Diceros bicornis minor: one gene and its partner. The protein of the gene in region 1 purifies or fractionates together with the protein of each later gene. This does not show direct contact. Links are inferred from orthologs where the notes say so. Each region holds a gene or a part of one and is shown in the gene's direction. Other genes may lie near its edges.

The links. Proteins that work in one complex are often made in the same cells at the same time.
Region 2: the proteins of VAMP5 (region 1) and STX12 purify together in Homo sapiens (affinity purification with mass spectrometry; 3 studies listed by BioGRID and IntAct, with this or other methods). This does not show direct contact. The link is inferred for Diceros bicornis minor from reciprocal best matches to the Homo sapiens genes VAMP5 and STX12.

The regions. Positions count from the first base shown.
Region 1 is NC_080751.1:4,407,071-4,410,816, reverse strand, and holds the start of VAMP5 (vesicle-associated membrane protein 5), read left to right. Parts: upstream 1-717; 5' UTR 718-3,461; coding exon 3,462-3,641; intron 3,642-3,746. UniProt on the Homo sapiens protein: May participate in trafficking events that are associated with myogenesis, such as myoblast fusion and/or GLUT4 trafficking.
Region 2 is NC_080752.1:43,290,654-43,294,399, forward strand, and holds the start of STX12 (syntaxin-12), read left to right. Parts: upstream 1-1,367; 5' UTR 1,368-1,456; coding exon 1,457-1,574; intron 1,575-3,746. UniProt on the Homo sapiens protein: SNARE promoting fusion of transport vesicles with target membranes. Together with SNARE STX6, promotes movement of vesicles from endosomes to the cell membrane, and may therefore function in the endocytic recycling pathway.

The DNA.
Region 1 (3,746 bases):
AGCTTGCTTGGCTGTTATATCTAAGAGGTTTTATTGACCACAAGTATTGTGTAGTTCTTGGGATCTGACTGCTAAAAAAAAAAGCGAGGGAAACGAGCTACATCAATAATAATAGCTGTTATTTATTGAACATTTAGTATGTGTCAGGTATTGTGCTAAGCACTTTATTTATAATATGTCACATGCCTTAGCCAACACTGTGGTATCATTGTCACCACTTTACAGATGAGGAAGTGGAGGGTCAGAAAGGTCATGTCCTCAGTCTTCAGTCACTCAGCTGGTGAGTGGCAGAGGCAGGATTTGAAGGAACCCAAGGCTGCAATGCAGAGCCCTGCTCTTAGTCTCTGAGCTCACGTGAGTGCTGAGCCAGGAAGGAGTTGATACCCCCGTCGCTGCCCAGGGCCGTCTGACTACGATGGCCAGACAGCTGAAATAGAGTGTCTTAGGCACTAACCAAGAGAGAGGGGAGACAGCAGAGTTAGGACAGGGAGGGGTTTGAGAGCTTTGTTTTCAGCATCAAAGGAGGAATATTCTGTGCAGAGGGTAACGGTCTGTCAAGAACATTTCCTGTGTGACTACCACCCTCTGCCTGCCAATGACGCTGCTGCTTGCCCTACCCCCGGCTCAAAAACTCAGGCCCTGCAGGCTCCTGGCAGTGCTGGGAAGTGCCTGTCTTGCCCACCCTTCCTCTCTATGCTCCGTGCCCCCCCCCCCCCCCCCCCCCGCTCGCCTGGCGGACATCTCCTCACACTGTTGCTGACAGCACTTCTCCTCCCCTTCTGGCTGGCCTCTCTGCCCTGAGTTTTCTCACTTGCATCCATGCCAGTCTACCACCAATAGAGAAATTATCCTGAAGCACCTCTTCAGTGTTGCCCTTGGCTCAGAAACCTACACTAGCTCTCTATCCCTCCCTCCAAGTGAGCTTCCTCTCCTTGACTTTTACTGCTTCCTCTGGCCCCATCATGCTCCCACACCGTTATCTTCTGCCTGCTGCATCACTGTCCCGAGCGTGTCTCTGTCTCTCTATGCCGAGAATGCCCCAGTTCCACCTCATCCATCAAGGGCTCACACCCTGTCCATCACAGTTCTCAGGAATCCCCCTCTCTGTGGTAGCTCCAGCTCTCACTATGTGTATCTCACAGTTAACTCTTCACTTTCTCTGATTGTCCCATATATGTCTCTTTCCCCCAACCTATACTGACTTCTTAAGAACAGGCACAATTCACTCAGAAAATATTGTCCACACATCCACTGTGTGCCGGGCACTATGCTGAGTTCACTGTGGCAGGAGGCAGCATGGCCTTTCCCTCTGGTCGCTTACTTCCTTCCACACCCATAATTCTGTATTTCTCACTGTGCCAGCAGAGACCTGTGCGTATAGTGTCCGTTTTCCGCTGGTTGAGTGGGGCCGAGGAGGGCCAGGAACTTGAGCCTGAGGCCTCTGTGTTCCCTGGATCAAATGTGTTTTTAGGCCTGGGCCCATCTTGGCTCCAGACAGGCCTGGCTTTGCAGTGAGGGAAGAGGCTGCAGACTGCAGCAGGAGGCACAGCTAGCTCTCCTGGAGAATGTGACCCAATGTCACCCCATGTTGGAGAATAAGATAACAACAGCTGTAGCATTTAGAGTAGAAAACAATAACATCCAGTGCCCCATCAGTCTTTAGTGGTGATTCTCATTTTCGAATCTTTGTCCATTCTCGGTTTTTGCCTTGGAATATTTGAATGTGGGGGTGCCTTGGACTGTGTGAATGCGAGAAGCTCCAAATAATGGAGCCTTGTTGAATAATATAGTAGTAACAATAGCAGTGATGATGGTTGACTCAGAAAAGGTAGAGATGAGCGCAGCTTCCCTGCTCTCTTCATTAATCTTCCTTGTTCCCCAGTTACTGCTTCCCCTGGCCTGTGAGTTCACCCCTCTGTCATGGTTCGCCTGCCCCCTCTCAAAGCAGGTTGCTTTTCTAGCTCATGGGTAAATATTGACCTACTTGGGTTTCAGATGCCTGCCCCTCGAAACTCCTGCTAGGCTAGATAAACACAAGGGGATAACATCTCTTGAGAATCAGAGCTGCTTTTGGAAAGGCTATAATGCAGTTGAGCCACTCACTGAATCTGTGCAACGGTCACCACTGAGCTGGGCCCCCGGAATGGCGGCAGACAAAGGCAGGGCATTGGCCCCTGCCTTCCCTCTGGGAGCTTGTGGTCCAGTTGGGGAGGTAGGGCTTATATACTGGGAATACTTGGAGGTTGTGCACAAGGCAGCTGCAAGGATCCTGAATGAGGATTGTTGCCTGAGTAGGTGGCCCTCTGTGACCACAAGATCCCTTCCCTTTCTCTGGTTTTAACTGGAATTCAGTCAAGTGCCAAAATACCTGCTGATGACAATAGGCAGTATAGTCTGGCAGGAAAGGGAGGTTGGCCGATGCTCTGTGGGGAGGAGATGAGAACTGGGATGGGCTGTGGGGGACAAGGCTGGGAGGAGGCAGTTACTGTGGTTTGTTAATCCACTGGTATTCATCTCCCTGACATGTCCCTGGACCTGCTTCTGGACCTCCAGCTCTCACTAGGGCCTCCTGCCCTGGGTCTCTTTCAGTTGCATGCGTCTAAAGGCCAGTTCCTTTATTGCTTGTGACCCATGCTTTCTTCCTCTCTCCTGTCCTCTCAACCTCCCCCCGCTTGGACTCTGCACCTCCCTTCCCCGTCCTCTGAAATGAGCTGGGTTCTTTTGTTAGGTGAGGCTGCTGCCTAGGCTGGGAGATCCAGGAGTTGGTCTTGTTTCAGTGAGTTGGACCCCAGTGAAGATCCTGGCTAGCTGAAAGGCTGGAGGCCAGAGGCCAGGAAGGCTGAGGTTCCCAGGCAGATAGAGAATCAACTTCGAGCATTGATGTGGATGTAGAGTTAGGCCATGAGGCAGAACTGGCCTGACCAGTCAGAAGCCCAAAGAGGGAAATCTGCTCTCAGTTTGTGTTTTTGTGTGTCTGTGGGGTTAGGCAGAGGCTATGATGTATGGTGGTCCAAAATTACCTTTCTAGCTCTGTGGAGTGGAGCTCCTCCTTGTCTGGCTTCTAGCCAAGTAGCTTGGTTCCCTGTTCTTTGCTTTCCCTGTTTCTTAGGCCAGTGGGAAGCCATAGGGCAGGTGCACATTGGGTACAGGCCATCCTAGAGCAGGCGGGCAAAGTGTCTGCTTTGTGGGAGGGTGGGGTCCTGGGAATGTCCCATCCTGAGGCACCTTAGAGTAAGCTGAGATGCTTGAAGCCAAGGCTGACCTAGGACCTGCCTTGATGGGCAAGGAGAGGAAGCCTATGAGACCAAGGTGAGCCACACACAGCCAGGAGGCTGGCCTTTCACTCTGCACGTGTGAAAGATGTTGTTTCCCCAACTCATACACTGCACACACACACACACACACACACACACACACACAGTGGAGGCAAAGAGGCCTCTAGGTCTCAGGATGAGGGACAGATGGGGGCCTCATGCAGCCCTGACCTTGGGCTTGATGACCAGGCAGGGAAAGAGTTGGAGCAGTGCCAGCGGCAGGCAGACGAGGTGGCGGAAATCATGCTCAACAACTACAACAAGGTCCTGGAGCGCCATGGGAATCTGGAGGAGCTGGACCAGCGTGCACACCAACTCCTGGGCAAGGTGTGAGGCCTGGGGAAGCAGGGGAGGGGGAGGGAGAGGCTGTGAGGAGCCCGCAGAGGGAGCTCTCAGGCTGTGCTCAGGGTCTCCGGGCCCTTCTGGGGCCTG
Region 2 (3,746 bases), on another chromosome or scaffold:
CACTGCTTGTCAAGCCATGCTCTGGTGGTGTCCCATATAAAGTAGAGGACGATGGGCACGGATGTTAGCCCAGGGCCAATCTTCCTCAGCAAAAAGAGGAGGATTGGCAACAGATGTTAGCTCAGGGCTAATCTTCCTCACCAAAAAAAAAAAAAAGAAGTACTCTTGTAAATGTTCCAACAAAAAATAGAGATAGGCTTGCTTACAAAAACTCTAAGCCTGAATGTAGGCTCATTCACCCATTTGGCTTCCTCTCTTTGCCATTCCCCAGAGATTGCAAAGCAAGCTGGGCTGGGGTGGAGTGGAGAACACAGGAAACCAACATGGCCAGTTCCCCTTCACTTCTCCCTGTCTTGATTTCCTCCCAAACCAAAATCCTACCCACGTCTTTCCATTTACCATCAGCTCACAAAATGCAGTCTTCTATAAGAACATGAGGTTATACAGTCCAAATTACTTAAGGGAATGATTTTTAAAATTTGAGAGTCTAGTTCTCCAAAAATCCTGGTTTGGGATATAGATGAAGAGGCTATTTGGGAGAGGTTTTGATGGAGAATGAATTTGGGAATATGAGAATGTGTTTTAGGGAAGTAATGCGATGACCATGGATTTAGCTTAGTGTGTGGGTTTTGTAGTCAGATCTCAGAAAAGCAAATTAACCTCTGTGTTAAAGGGAAAATAACCGTTACTTTGTCGAGGTAGTTCAACATTTTAAAAATCGATTGTCCATTGTTTATTCTGAAGGTAAAAATATAGTTAGAACATCGTCCCTTGCTGTGAAAGAGCTTGTAAACAAGTGAATTGCAGCGAGGATTCACACACAGTACGTGCTCAAATTTTATTATTATTATTATTATCATTTTATTGTTTAGAAGAGGGGTGCAGGGAAAAATGAAAGTGGTTTGTAAACCAGAAAAGTCTCCGCAAATACTATCAAAGCCCTAGAGGATAGAAATAGAGTGAGGAATTTCAGGAGTTTGGTTACGGATCTGAGTTTCAAGGTTGTCGAATTCTCCCATATTTGGGCGTGAATTCTCAGAAAAGAACAGAATAGCATGTTAGGGCTGAGATCATCTGGTCCAATTTTATGCTAATCGAAAATTCTTGCCTCCTGTCACCGCGCCCAGGCGAGAAACACCACCGCCACCGCAGCTCATCCAATCGGAGCCCCAACTATCTGACATCATCGCCCCGCCCCTCAAGCCCAAGCTCCGGGGCGTCCAGTCTCTAAGCTACTGTGCCCCGCACCACTTCCAGCGGCGCCCGCGCAACTGAGGGGCGGGGCGGGGCGGGGCGGACGCGTGCGCGCCGCGTGGGGGCGGGACTAGTGCGCACGCAGCCTCAGCCTCTTCCCAGACCTTTTCCTTCCTGGTTTCCCCGTCAGTCTGCGGGTCCCGTCTGGCAGCTGCTTCCGGTAGGAGCCCGGTGCAGGACCAGTCGGTCTCAGCTCCTCGTCATGTCCTACGGTCCCTTAGACATGTACCGGAACCCGGGGCCCTTGGGGCCCCAACTCCGGGACTTCAACAGCATCATCCAGACGTGCAGCGGCAACATCCAGCGGATCAGCCAAGCCAGTGAGCCGGGGGACTGGGCTGAGGGGCGGGCGCCGTCCGGGGGTCAGGCCTGGGTGTGGCTGCCGGGACGCGGAGCTCGGCCGGGGCTACGGCCAAGGCCGCACCTGACGCCATCTCGGGCTCTCCATTCTGGAGGCGGCGCCTGTCATCCCCGCATCTGTCAGGCCCGGGCTCCCCGAGGGTCCCGAGCCCCAGCGGAAGCTCGAGCTATTTCCCAGGTTCTGCCCTCGTGATGTTAGGGCCAAAACTGCAGACCTGACAGCCCCAGGGTGGGAAGGGGTGTGTGTGTCACCTCGAGAGCAGTGAGTGACTTGACTTGGCGCAGTGGTCAGCCGAGTTTTTCCTGTCATCCGCCTTCCCCCCGCCCATCTCTCCTTCCTCTTTGGCTAGCTTGGATCGGGAGTTGTTTACTGATTTAGACTTTAGGTTTACATTCTGCTGAGCTTCTGGCTTCTTGGAGATCAGCAGCTTTCAATTAAAGGAAGTGGAGAGTGCTTGTGTTATGGTGACTTAATACACAGTTCTTCACGTAGTGAAATTGGAAATCAGATAACGACTTCTGTTTTAAATAAAGAGAATTCACCGAAAACATTTCAATTTACATTGTCTTTTGTAGCAAAAGATTTGCGTATATTTTTGGATTTCAAGCCAATGAGGCTTTGTTTTCCATCTCTATTGAGCTACTCTTCTGAGCAAATCTGATACATAGAGAAGCTCAGGATCTTGGCCACAATCACATAGCAAGTAAGACATGGTAGAGTTGGTGGTAGATTTCAGAATGTCCTTGCTTGTCTTAAAACTGGATCCCCACCATTGGGGTCTGAGTGAGACTGCAGCTGAATGAGTCAGATAGAGGCTGTTTCTCGTGCCTGAAAAATCAGCTCAGAGCCTTATAAACAGGAGGTCAGCAGCAACAACTTTACTTGGAAAGAATGATGATCATCATCCTTGTTGTTTATTATTGTGCTTTTGTGAGTGTGGCTGGACTCTGTTAATAGATAGAACTAGTTGGTCCTGAATTACAGTTATGTTTTATATTTTAAAGAACAATCTATCACTTTGCTTTTAAATTTAAATACATAGTGCAGAATTTGAGAGGTGAGAAGTTTCTGATGGGAAGGGTTTGAGACTGAGTGATTTGGAAGTGGAAAGAAGAATATGTAGCATGTCAAGTCCAGAAATTAAAAAAGAAATTAATGTGACCACTGGTTAGAAAGTATAGTACTTTGTGTTCCAATTTCCTTTTGTGAGGGAGCTGTAATACAAGTTAGATCAGAAAATTCTGGTTCAAGGCTAAAAGTTTCTTGTTGAGGCTAAATCTAATTTTAATGTCTATTTGTGAAATCATTCTACATATATTTGAGTATCAGGCTATGTAGTAAGTATAGGAACTGGCATGGATTCTTTCATATATTCATATTTCAACCGAAATATAAAGTTGAAAGGGATCAGTGCTATAGATGAAGTTTAAATAACATTATGTAGGTATTCAGAGGAGAGAGAGACTATTTTGAGTTGGGAGGGATCGGGGAAGGCATTATGGCATTTGAGCTAGGTCTGAAAAGATGGTGGAAAGGATTTGAACTTGTGACGGTAATGAATGGGAGAGCATTCCAGGAGGGAATAAAATGAACAAGGCATGCTAGTGGAAAGGCATGTGGTTTATATAGAAAAGTAGAGTGATTTAATTTGGCTGGAGTGGTAGACTCTAGAAAGTAGGGGAAAATGGGGTTGGAAAGGTAAGTTCGGGCCCAAACATGAAGGGCTTTATGTGCTAAACTAAGGGGATTTGGATTTAATTCTTTTAAGAATGTGTAAATTGAATTGGAAGGGAGAGACTGGAATTAGAGACAGCAGTTAGGAACTGTGAAAATTAAAAGGAAGGAGAGGATAGGAGGGATCTCTTTGATGATAGAATTGATAAGATGTAGTTGTCGACTGGGCTCAAGGGATCATTGGAGTCAACCATTAATAACATTAATAGGGGCCGGCCTGGTGGCCCAAGCGGTTGGGTGCGCACGCTCTGCTGCGGCCCGGGGTTCGCCAGCTGGGATCCCGGGCACGCACCCACGCACCGCTTGTTAAGCCATGCTGTGGCGGCGTCCCATATAAAGCAGAGGAAGATGGGCACGGATGTTAGCCCAGGGCCAGTCTTCCTCAGCAAAAAGAGGA